2 linked regions of the Saccharomyces cerevisiae S288C genome follow. The gene in region 1 interacts genetically with each later gene. Each region holds a gene or a part of one and is shown in the gene's direction. Other genes may lie near its edges. The genes, in order: ERG10 and CCH1.

Region 1 (3,685 bases):
TGCTAGCAAGGGAAGTGTACGATAGATTTCATGCAGAAAAGATAAGATGCAATTTACTGACTGGAGAGGAAGTTATTCGTGATTTGGATGATAGAGGAAATTCAGCAGGGCTGACATCAGGCACAGTAGAAATGGTGCCAATAAATCAAAAATTTGACGTTGTTGTTCTTGATGAAATTCAAATGATGTCTGATGGGGATCGTGGCTGGGCTTGGACGAACGCGCTTTTAGGTGTCGTTTCCAAGGAGGTCCATCTTTGTGGTGAAAAGAGTGTTCTACCTTTGGTTAAGAGCATTGTTAAAATGACTGGCGATAAATTAACGATTAATGAATATGAGAGGTTAGGAAAGTTAAGTGTTGAAGAAAAACCTATCAAAGATGGCATCAAAGGTTTGCGCAAAGGAGATTGCGTCGTTGCGTTTTCAAAGAAGAAAATATTGGATCTCAAGCTAAAGATAGAGAAAGACACCAATTTGAAAGTTGCTGTAATTTATGGCTCTTTGCCGCCTGAAACACGTGTTCAACAAGCCGCCCTATTCAACAATGGAGAGTATGACATAATGGTAGCATCAGACGCTATTGGTATGGGTTTAAACCTGTCTATTGACAGAGTTGTATTCACGACAAATATGAAATATAATGGTGAAGAACTAATGGAAATGACTTCTTCTCAAATCAAACAAATAGGTGGTCGTGCGGGAAGGTTCAAATCTAGATCTGCCTCCGGGGGTGTTCCTCAGGGTTTTATCACCAGTTTCGAATCAAAAGTTTTGAAAAGTGTAAGAAAAGCTATTGAAGCACCTGTGGAGTATTTAAAAACTGCGGTTACATGGCCTACAGATGAAATATGTGCTCAACTAATGACACAATTCCCACCAGGAACGCCGACCAGTGTCCTGCTGCAGACTATTTCAGATGAGCTAGAGAAAAGTTCTGACAACCTGTTCACGTTATCTGATTTAAAGAGCAAACTGAAAGTTATTGGCTTATTCGAGCACATGGAAGATATCCCATTTTTCGACAAGCTGAAACTAAGCAATGCGCCCGTGAAGGACATGCCTATGGTCACAAAGGCGTTCACCAAATTTTGCGAAACAATAGCAAAAAGGCATACAAGAGGCCTACTGTCATACCGATTACCTTTTAACCTACTGGACTACAATTGCATACCGAATGAGAGTTATTCATTAGAGGTTTATGAGTCATTGTACAACATCATTACTCTATACTTCTGGCTCAGCAACAGGTACCCAAACTACTTCATTGACATGGAATCTGCTAAAGATTTGAAGTATTTCTGTGAGATGATTATTTTCGAGAAACTTGATCGATTAAAGAAGAATCCTTACGCACATAAGCCCTTTGGTTCTACAAGAGGTCACCTCTCATCTTCGAGAAGAAGATTGCGTACATAATCTACGATATATCCTGTAAATAGAAACAGCTACACTGCTTGAAAGCCTTAACATGATACATTTCTGGTATGATGCCATTGTTGTGCCCTGCCGGGTTTATCGTTTCCTAACAGGCACGTCACTTATAACGAGGTGCCTGTCGTTTACCGCCCAAGCCGGTTTTTTCGCTGGAGAGTACGGTACTACTAGCCCACCACACGTTCGTGGCCAGGTTGATAGGCCACCGTTGAGCAAAGGGCAGTAAAATATATAAAAGAGGAACAAGCGCTTCCATTAAGAGCACTGCTAAGCCTACTCGTTTTCTAGTTCTCTGAAAAAAGGTAGCCTAAAACAAGCGCCATATCATATATATTTATACAGATTAGACGTACTCAAAATGTCTCAGAACGTTTACATTGTATCGACTGCCAGAACCCCAATTGGTTCATTCCAGGGTTCTCTATCCTCCAAGACAGCAGTGGAATTGGGTGCTGTTGCTTTAAAAGGCGCCTTGGCTAAGGTTCCAGAATTGGATGCATCCAAGGATTTTGACGAAATTATTTTTGGTAACGTTCTTTCTGCCAATTTGGGCCAAGCTCCGGCCAGACAAGTTGCTTTGGCTGCCGGTTTGAGTAATCATATCGTTGCAAGCACAGTTAACAAGGTCTGTGCATCCGCTATGAAGGCAATCATTTTGGGTGCTCAATCCATCAAATGTGGTAATGCTGATGTTGTCGTAGCTGGTGGTTGTGAATCTATGACTAACGCACCATACTACATGCCAGCAGCCCGTGCGGGTGCCAAATTTGGCCAAACTGTTCTTGTTGATGGTGTCGAAAGAGATGGGTTGAACGATGCGTACGATGGTCTAGCCATGGGTGTACACGCAGAAAAGTGTGCCCGTGATTGGGATATTACTAGAGAACAACAAGACAATTTTGCCATCGAATCCTACCAAAAATCTCAAAAATCTCAAAAGGAAGGTAAATTCGACAATGAAATTGTACCTGTTACCATTAAGGGATTTAGAGGTAAGCCTGATACTCAAGTCACGAAGGACGAGGAACCTGCTAGATTACACGTTGAAAAATTGAGATCTGCAAGGACTGTTTTCCAAAAAGAAAACGGTACTGTTACTGCCGCTAACGCTTCTCCAATCAACGATGGTGCTGCAGCCGTCATCTTGGTTTCCGAAAAAGTTTTGAAGGAAAAGAATTTGAAGCCTTTGGCTATTATCAAAGGTTGGGGTGAGGCCGCTCATCAACCAGCTGATTTTACATGGGCTCCATCTCTTGCAGTTCCAAAGGCTTTGAAACATGCTGGCATCGAAGACATCAATTCTGTTGATTACTTTGAATTCAATGAAGCCTTTTCGGTTGTCGGTTTGGTGAACACTAAGATTTTGAAGCTAGACCCATCTAAGGTTAATGTATATGGTGGTGCTGTTGCTCTAGGTCACCCATTGGGTTGTTCTGGTGCTAGAGTGGTTGTTACACTGCTATCCATCTTACAGCAAGAAGGAGGTAAGATCGGTGTTGCCGCCATTTGTAATGGTGGTGGTGGTGCTTCCTCTATTGTCATTGAAAAGATATGATTACGTTCTGCGATTTTCTCATGATCTTTTTCATAAAATACATAAATATATAAATGGCTTTATGTATAACAGGCATAATTTAAAGTTTTATTTGCGATTCATCGTTTTTCAGGTACTCAAACGCTGAGGTGTGCCTTTTGACTTACTTTTCCGCCTTGGCAAGCTGGCCGGGTGATACTTGCACAAGTTCCACTAATTACTGACATTTGTGGTATTAACTCGTTTGACTGCTCTACAATTGTAGGATGTTAATCAATGTCTTGGCTGCCTTCATTCTCTTCAGGCTCTATTAATTTTAACCGTTATAAGTTCCTTTTCTCCCTTGGAAGCAAACATCAACTGCCTTAAAATCTGGTGGCGAGGAAAGAGGAAATGGCATGTACTAATGATGGTCCTAATAAATATCCCGAAATTGTGAGTGTTAAGCACCTGTTCCAACATTCGGGATCCAAGCATGAATTTAGTGCTGGTAAACGATTTTCAAAATCCATTGGTAAAATATTCAAACGAAACTCTGCTTTGAAAACTTCTAGAACTGAAACGGCAAATCATAAAATGGAATTGAAAAAAAGAGAGGGTGTTACCTTATTGCCACCTGTCCCAGAATCATTATTACATAAACTCAATTCTTGGTTGGAAACTTTTTCTTCCACCAAGAACATGAAAATCGAAGAAAACAAAATTGTTATTAATGAAA
Region 2 (7,881 bases), on another chromosome or scaffold:
AAACCGTGGTTTTGAGCTCAATTGAAATGCCACCGGGTAGACGTTTAGGATCTTTTAACCTAAGTAATAATGCGAACAATGGAAAATGGTTAATGAGTGCAATGACAGCTTCCGAGAATATTTCGATAGTTATTGTTAGCATTCTCAAAACTGTGTATGACATATAGAATGCCATCACTGTGGGAGTCAAGAACACTAGAATAATAAATAATAATGTTCCCAATAGCAATTGATCTAGTTGAAAATAGTTATGGTCAATCCTATTTCGTAAAACGTTCCTCTTTTTACCGCAGAACAGGTTAAAAAGACTAGCCATAATATTCAACTGACAATGGTACAGTTTACTGCTGATACGATAAAAAACATATATTGGAAAACTTAAAATTGCAAAAAAATCAATCGCTAGGGAAACAGCAAAAGAAAAGCCAACGAGAAACATCATATATATCGTTAACGTGAGCAAAGATGATAGGGTTTTCGGATCAATGAGTCTTTTTATGAATGTGGTATAAGAAAATTCTATCACCCAAAGAAATAATTCGCTCAAAAAGTTCGCAAGTTCTGCATTTAATTTGATGCCAAGGGGGTTATTTGCTAACGTTTCAGTTATTGTTTTTAATGAATCATATAAAAAAAACTTCAATACTCTATGGGATGCCGACACCAAGAAATCTCGATTCTCAATAAGTATGGCCCCCAATATTAAACCAAATGAAATGTCATTAATAATAAGCCAAATTGTATTATACAATAAAATATAATCGGGATAGAATTTAGAAGGCATATATGAATGTGAGAATTGACTATTAGAATTATCTTTTTCCACCATAGAGCCAACATTCTGTATGTTATCCTTCTTATTAATACGCTCATACTGTACTGGGAAATAGCAAATTTGTTGACAACGAAGATCGATTTGCTGGACAAATGCCGAGTAATTTACCAACTGAAAGTGCGAATAATTTAATAACGAGGATACGAGACTAGCAATAGAGCAGATCACAAAAGTCAAATAAAAACCAATTTTTGCGACCATTTTATAAATACAAGTAGATGAACACCAAGCTGCGACACTATTAAGCATAGTACCCCTCAAATTTTCCTGTGATGTTTGAATAAACGGGTAAAGCTCATTTAATGCTTTACAATATGCGGGGAATAGATTAATGATGTTCAAAGTTTCACTCAATTTCTTATTATCTCTCTTGTATCTTGGATGTTGCTCTAATTTAGAATAGTTCAGAGTTTCACCCACACTACTATGAAGACCAACTTCTTTTTCTGGTATGATGAGCGAGATGGGATCAGAAGAATAGAATTGCATAAATTTCAGCTTGGGTATTCTAAAATGGACATTACAGGGATCAGCAACTTTGTAGTTCCAACCCTCCGCTCCATTGTTCTTAGTAGCTACCACTGAATAAGGGGGCCGTATGCTTACTTCTTCTAAATACTGAGGTTCGCAAACACCTAAGACAACAAAATGCGTCTTCTCAAATGAAATTGCCAAAGCTACCTGAGGTCCTTGAGCTGCGGAATTCTCGAACAAGGATTCGTATGGCCAGAAAATGTAATTTGGCATGTCATTTAACTGTATAAAACCGCCCCTGAATTCGAAGGTTCCTGTTCACAGAGGAATTTTCATTCTTTTTGGTATTATGTTCTGGTAGGTTTTTTTCATATTCTACATTTCGGCATTCTCACTGAAAATAAATATAGATGAGATAGAAGATCATGAATCAATGGTTGGTGACAAGCTAACATAAGGAAAATCAAAATACACGGCATTACTAAATAGAATATATTGTTAGTACTATGCAGGGGAGAAAAAGGACGCTTACGGAACCATTTGAGCCAAATACCAATCCATTTGGGGACAATGCAGCAGTAATGACGGAAAATGTTGAGGATAACAGCGAAACAGATGGTAACCGTCTAGAATCAAAACCACAAGCTTTGGTCCCACCAGCTTTAAATATCGTGCCACCAGAGAGCAGCATCCACAGTACTGAAGAAAAAAAAGGTGACGAGTACAATGGAAATGATAAAGATAGCTCCTTAATCTCCAACATATTTCGTACTCGTGTCGGAAGGAGTAGTCATGAAAACTTGAGCAGGCCTAAACTCTCACTTAAAACAGCATCATTTGGTGCCGCTGAATCTTCCCGGCGTAATGTTTCACCCTCTACAAAATCTGCCAAGTCTAGTTCGCAGTATATTGATTTAAATGATGAAAGGCTACGCAGGCGTAGCTTCAGTAGTTATAGCCGATCATCTAGTAGGCGTGTTTCTAATTCACCAAGCTCAACGGATAGGCCTCCACGGTCGGCAAAGGTTTTATCGCTAATTGCCGCTGATGATATGGATGATTTTGAAGATTTGCAAAAGGGATTTAAAAGTGCAATAGACGAAGAGGGCCTGACATGGCTACCCCAATTAAAATCAGAAAAAAGCCGTCCTGTATCAGACGTTGGAGAAGATAGAGGAGAAGGAGAACAAGAATCTATACCTGACGTTCATACACCCAATGTAGGAGCAAGCGCTACTCCAGGATCAATTCATCTAACACCCGAACCCGCGCAGAATGGTTCGGTATCTGAGGGTCTAGAAGGCTCTATTAATAATTCAAGAAAGAAACCCAGTCCAAAGTTTTTTCATCATTTATCACCGCAAAAAGAAGATAAAGACCAAACAGAAGTTATTGAGTATGCTGAAGACATTCTAGATTTTGAAACCCTTCAAAGAAAACTGGAATCAAGGCCCTTTGTGCTTTATGGACATTCTCTTGGGGTTTTCTCGCCTACGAATCCGCTAAGAATAAAAATTGCTCGTTTTTTGTTGCATAGGCGGTATTCGTTACTTTACAACACTTTGTTAACATTTTATGCCATTCTCCTGGCGATAAGGACATATAACCCTCACAATGTGGTTTTTTTATACCGTTTCTCTAACTGGACCGACTATTTCATTTTTATTTTATCAGCTTGCTTTACAGGCAATGATATTGCTAAAATAATTGCGTTTGGATTTTGGGACGATTCTGAAATGTTTAAAGCCTATGGACGTGAGTATAAATCAATCTTACAGAGATCTGGAATTATGAAACTATACATATATCTGAGAGAAAAGTATGGTAGAAAGCTAATAGATTTCATTATTCCATTTAGGATCATATCGCCGGGAGAAGAGACAAAATATCAACGAAGTTCGTTGAGTACTTCCCTGACGAAACCTTATGGGGCAAAGGAAAATCAGAGGCCTTTTGGCACCCCAAGAGCCTTTGCGAGATCATCGTGGAATAGAATAGATCTGGTATCTTCTGTCAGTTTTTGGCTAGGTATGTTTTTATCCATAAAAAGTTATGATACAAAAACAGGCATAAGAATATTCAAGCCCCTTGCTATATTAAGGATTCTTCGACTTGTAAACGTGGATACTGGTATGCCCTCAATTCTAAGGGGATTGAAATATGGTATCCCACAGTTGGTAAATGTTAGTTCAATGCTAGTTTACTTTTGGATTTTCTTTGGGATTTTGGGAGTACAGATTTTTCAGGGCTCTTTTCGAAGACAATGTGTATGGTTTAACCCTGAAGATCCTACCGATACTTACCAGTACGATATGCAATTCTGTGGTGGTTACCTAGATCCAGTAACAAAACGAAAACAAAATTATATCTATGAAGACGGATCAGAAGGTTCTGTTTCAAAAGGCTTTCTTTGCCCACAATATTCGAAATGTGTTTCCAATGCCAACCCCTACAACGGCAGAATTAGTTTTGATAATATTGTTAATTCCATGGAGCTCGTTTTTGTCATTATGAGTGCGAATACTTTTACTGACTTAATGTACTATACGATGGATTCGGATGAAATGGCTGCCTGTTTGTTTTTTATTGTTTGCATCTTTGTTTTAACTATCTGGCTGCTAAATCTACTCATTGCAGTGTTGGTATCATCTTTTGAAATAGCCAATGAGGAGTACAAAAAGAAAAAGTTCATATATGGTTCTAGAAAGACAGGTTATGTTGCTCGCATAGTAACAGGCTACTGGAAATATTTTAAGCTTAAGGCGAATCAGACAAAATTCCCAAATTGGTCCCAAAAAGGACTAGCTATTTATTCCCACGTTGAGTTTATCTTTGTCATACTTATTATTTGCGATATAGGTATGCGCGCCTCTGTTAAAGTATCGACTTCGGCAAACTGTAACAATATCCTTCTAAAAACTGACAGGGGAATTTCGATTGTTCTCTTCATCGAATCACTGGCAAGGTTAGTATTATATCTGCCCAATATGTGGAAGTTTTTAACAAAACCTAGTTACGTTTACGATTTTATTATATCAATTATTACTCTGGTTATTAGTTGCCTGGCTGTTGAAGGGGTTCTAGGACATATGTATGCCTGGCTATCCATATTCCACATATCCAGATTTTACAGGGTGATTATTTCTTTCAATTTAACAAAAAAACTATGGAAACAAATATTGAGTAATGGTGTTATGATTTGGAACTTATCGTCTTTTTACTTTTTTTTCACCTTTTTGGTTGCTATAATCATGGCTGTGTATTTCGAAGGCGTGATTCCTCCAGAAGAAATGGCAGACCAGCCATTTGGAATGTATTCACTACCGAATTCATTTCTTTCTTTGTTTATAATAGGTTCAACTGAAAATTGGACGGATATCCTATATGCCCTCCAAAAACACTCACCAAACATCTCCTCAACTTTTTTTTGCTCAGTATTTTTTATTATATGGTTTCTACTATCCAACTCAGTGATCTTGAACATTTTCATTGCCCTAATATCAGAAAGCATGGAAGTGAAAGAAGAAGAAAAACGACCACAGCAAATTAAGCATTATCTTAAGTTCGTCTATCCTCAGAAAATACAAGAATATACACACGCTAGTTTGGTTGCGAGAATTCGTAAAAAATTCTTTGGAGGTCATAGGAACGAAGATACAAGAGATTTTAAGCAATTTCTTATGAGAGGAACCGCGATAATGAACATAGCGCAGAATATGGGGGAGTTGGCCGATGAATTCAAAGAGCCACCTTCAGAAAACCTATTTAAAAAGGGCTTATCAAAGCTCACAATTGGGGTTCCGTCACTAAAAAGGCTGAGAATGTTTGCTAATAATCCATTTTATAAAAATAGTGACGTTGTGTTTACAGAAACGAACGATATAAATGGGAGGACGTATATCTTGGAGTTGAATGAGTACGAGGATGAGAAGCTAGATTATTTAAAAAAGTACCCTTTATTCAATTACTCATATTATTTCTTTTCTCCTCAGCATAGATTTCGAAGGTTCTGTCAACGCTTGGTACCACCAAGCACTGGAAAAAGGACTGATGGATCACGATTTTTCGAGGATAGCACTGATCTATACAATAAAAGGAGCTATTTTCATCATATTGAAAGAGATGTATTTGTATTCATTTTCGCACTTGCCACCATTTTACTAATTGTTTGCTCATGTTATGTTACGCCTCTATATCGTATGCATCACAAGATGGGAACTTGGAATTGGTCCTCGGCGTTAGATTGCGCCTTCATTGGTGCCTTCTCAATTGAATTTATCGTGAAAACAGTAGCTGACGGATTTATATATTCTCCAAATGCTTACCTGAGGAATCCATGGAACTTTATTGATTTTTGTGTCCTAATCTCAATGTGGATTAATTTAATTGCATACCTAAAAAACAATGGAAATTTGTCTAGGATTTTCAAGGGATTGACAGCCCTGAGGGCCCTCAGATGCCTCACGATCAGTAACACAGCTCGTCAAACATTTAACCTAGTTATGTTTGATGGTTTAAATAAAATTTTTGAAGCTGGGTTGATTTCACTCAGTTTGCTATTTCCATTTACAGTTTGGGGCTTAAGCATTTTTAAAGGCCGTTTAGGTACTTGCAATGACGGAAGTTTGGGCCGTGCAGATTGTTACAATGAATATTCAAATTCCGTTTTTCAATGGGATATCATGTCTCCAAGGGTTTACCAGCAACCATATCTTCATTTGGACTCTTTCGCAAGCGCTTTTAGTTCATTATACCAAATCATTTCTTTGGAAGGATGGGTTGATTTGTTGGAAAATATGATGAATAGTTCAGGAATAGGTACACCCGCTACGGTAATGGGTTCAGCAGGGAATGCTTTATTCCTCGTTCTGTTTAATTTTTTAAGTATGGTTTTCATCCTGAACTTGTTTGTTTCATTCATTGTTAACAACCAAGCAAGGACAACAGGAAGCGCTTACTTTACCATTGAGGAAAAGGCGTGGCTGGAATCCCAGAAACTTTTATCTCAGGCCAAGCCAAAAGCTATCCCAAATTTAATTGAGTTATCAAGAGTTAGGCAATTTTTCTATCAACTTGCAGTGGAGAAAAAAAATTTCTACTACGCATCGTTTCTTCAGGTAGTACTTTATTTGCACATAATCATGCTCCTGAGTCGAAGCTACAATCCAGGAAACTTGATAGGTTATCAAGGTGTTTATTTTATGTTTTCCACTAGTGTTTTTTTAATTCAAGAGGCACTTCACATGTGCGGTGAAGGACCAAGATTATATTTTAGGCAAAAATGGAACAGCATACGACTCAGTATCATAATTATAGCCTTTATTATGAACGCTGTAGCATTCCACGTTCCAGCCTCTCACTATTGGTTCCACAATATAAAGGGGTTTTTCCTGTTAGTGATATTTTTGTTTATTATTCCTCAAAATGACACACTAACTGAACTATTAGAAACCGCAATGGCAAGCTTACCGCCTATTCTATCATTGACCTACACTTGGGGGGTTTTATTTTTAGTATATGCTATTGCTTTGAATCAAATCTTCGGCCTAACAAGGTTAGGGAGTAATACGACCGATAACATAAATTTTAGAACTGTAATCAAATCCATGATTGTTCTGTTTAGATGTAGTTTTGGTGAGGGCTGGAATTATATCATGGCCGACCTAACTGTGTCAGAACCTTATTGCTCCTCTGATGATAATTCAACCTATACGGACTGTGGATCAGAGACATATGCCTATTTGTTATTAATGTCGTGGAATATTATTTCCATGTATATTTTTGTGAATATGTTTGTTTCGTTGATTATTGGTAATTTCAGTTATGTTTACCGTAGCGGTGGATCTCGCTCTGGCATCAACAGATCGGAGATAAAAAAATACATTGAAGCTTGGTCCAAATTTGATACTGATGGAACTGGCGAGCTTGAGCTGTCCTACCTCCCAAGAATAATGCATTCATTTGACGGTCCTCTTTCATTTAAAATTTGGGAAGGTAGATTGACAATAAAAAGTCTAGTCGAGAACTACATGGAGGTTAACCCAGATGATCCATATGACGTCAAAATAGACCTGATCGGACTGAACAAAGAGCTGAATACGATTGATAAAGCAAAGATCATACAGAGGAAGTTACAGTACAGAAGATTTGTACAAAGCATTCACTATACGAATGCTTATAATGGATGTATCAGATTCTCGGATTTGTTATTACAAATACCTCTCTATACAGCTTATTCTGCAAGGGAATGTCTAGGTATTGATCAATATGTCCATCATCTATATATCCTGGGTAAAGTGGACAAGTACTTAGAAAATCAAAGAAACTTCGATGTATTGGAGATGGTGGTAACAAGATGGAAATTTCATTGCAGGATGAAACGTACCATTGAACCCGAATGGGATGTTAAAGATCCCACAGTATCGTCTCACATTTCGAATATAAACGTAAATCTGGAACCTGCTCCAGGAATTTTAGAAAGAGAACCTATTGCGACACCTAGAATGGACTACGGTGTTAACAATTTTATGTGGTCTCCGAGAATGAATCAAGACTCTACGATGGAGCCCCCG

Evidence for each region.
Region 2: mutations in ERG10 (region 1) and CCH1 together harm fitness more than expected from each alone (negative genetic interaction), as found in Saccharomyces cerevisiae (2 studies listed by BioGRID).

Annotation. Positions count from the first base shown.
Region 1 is NC_001148.4:496,305-499,989, forward strand, and holds ERG10 (acetyl-CoA C-acetyltransferase), read left to right. Parts: upstream 1-1,791; coding exon 1,792-2,988; downstream 2,989-3,685. Other genes in the region: ATP-dependent RNA helicase SUV3, read left to right, coding at 1-1,415; SMA1 (Sma1p), read left to right, coding at 3,361-3,685. UniProt on the Saccharomyces cerevisiae protein: Acetyl-CoA acetyltransferase; part of the first module of ergosterol biosynthesis pathway that includes the early steps of the pathway, conserved across all eukaryotes, and which results in the formation of mevalonate from acetyl-coenzyme A (acetyl-CoA).
Region 2 is NC_001139.9:922,881-930,761, forward strand, and holds the start of CCH1 (calcium channel protein CCH1), read left to right. Parts: upstream 1-1,815; coding exon 1,816-7,881. Other genes in the region: GPI1 (phosphatidylinositol N-acetylglucosaminyltransferase), read right to left, coding at 1-1,582. UniProt on the Saccharomyces cerevisiae protein: Voltage-gated, high-affinity calcium channel that functions together with MID1 to mediate calcium entry into cells. Required during conditions of environmental stress.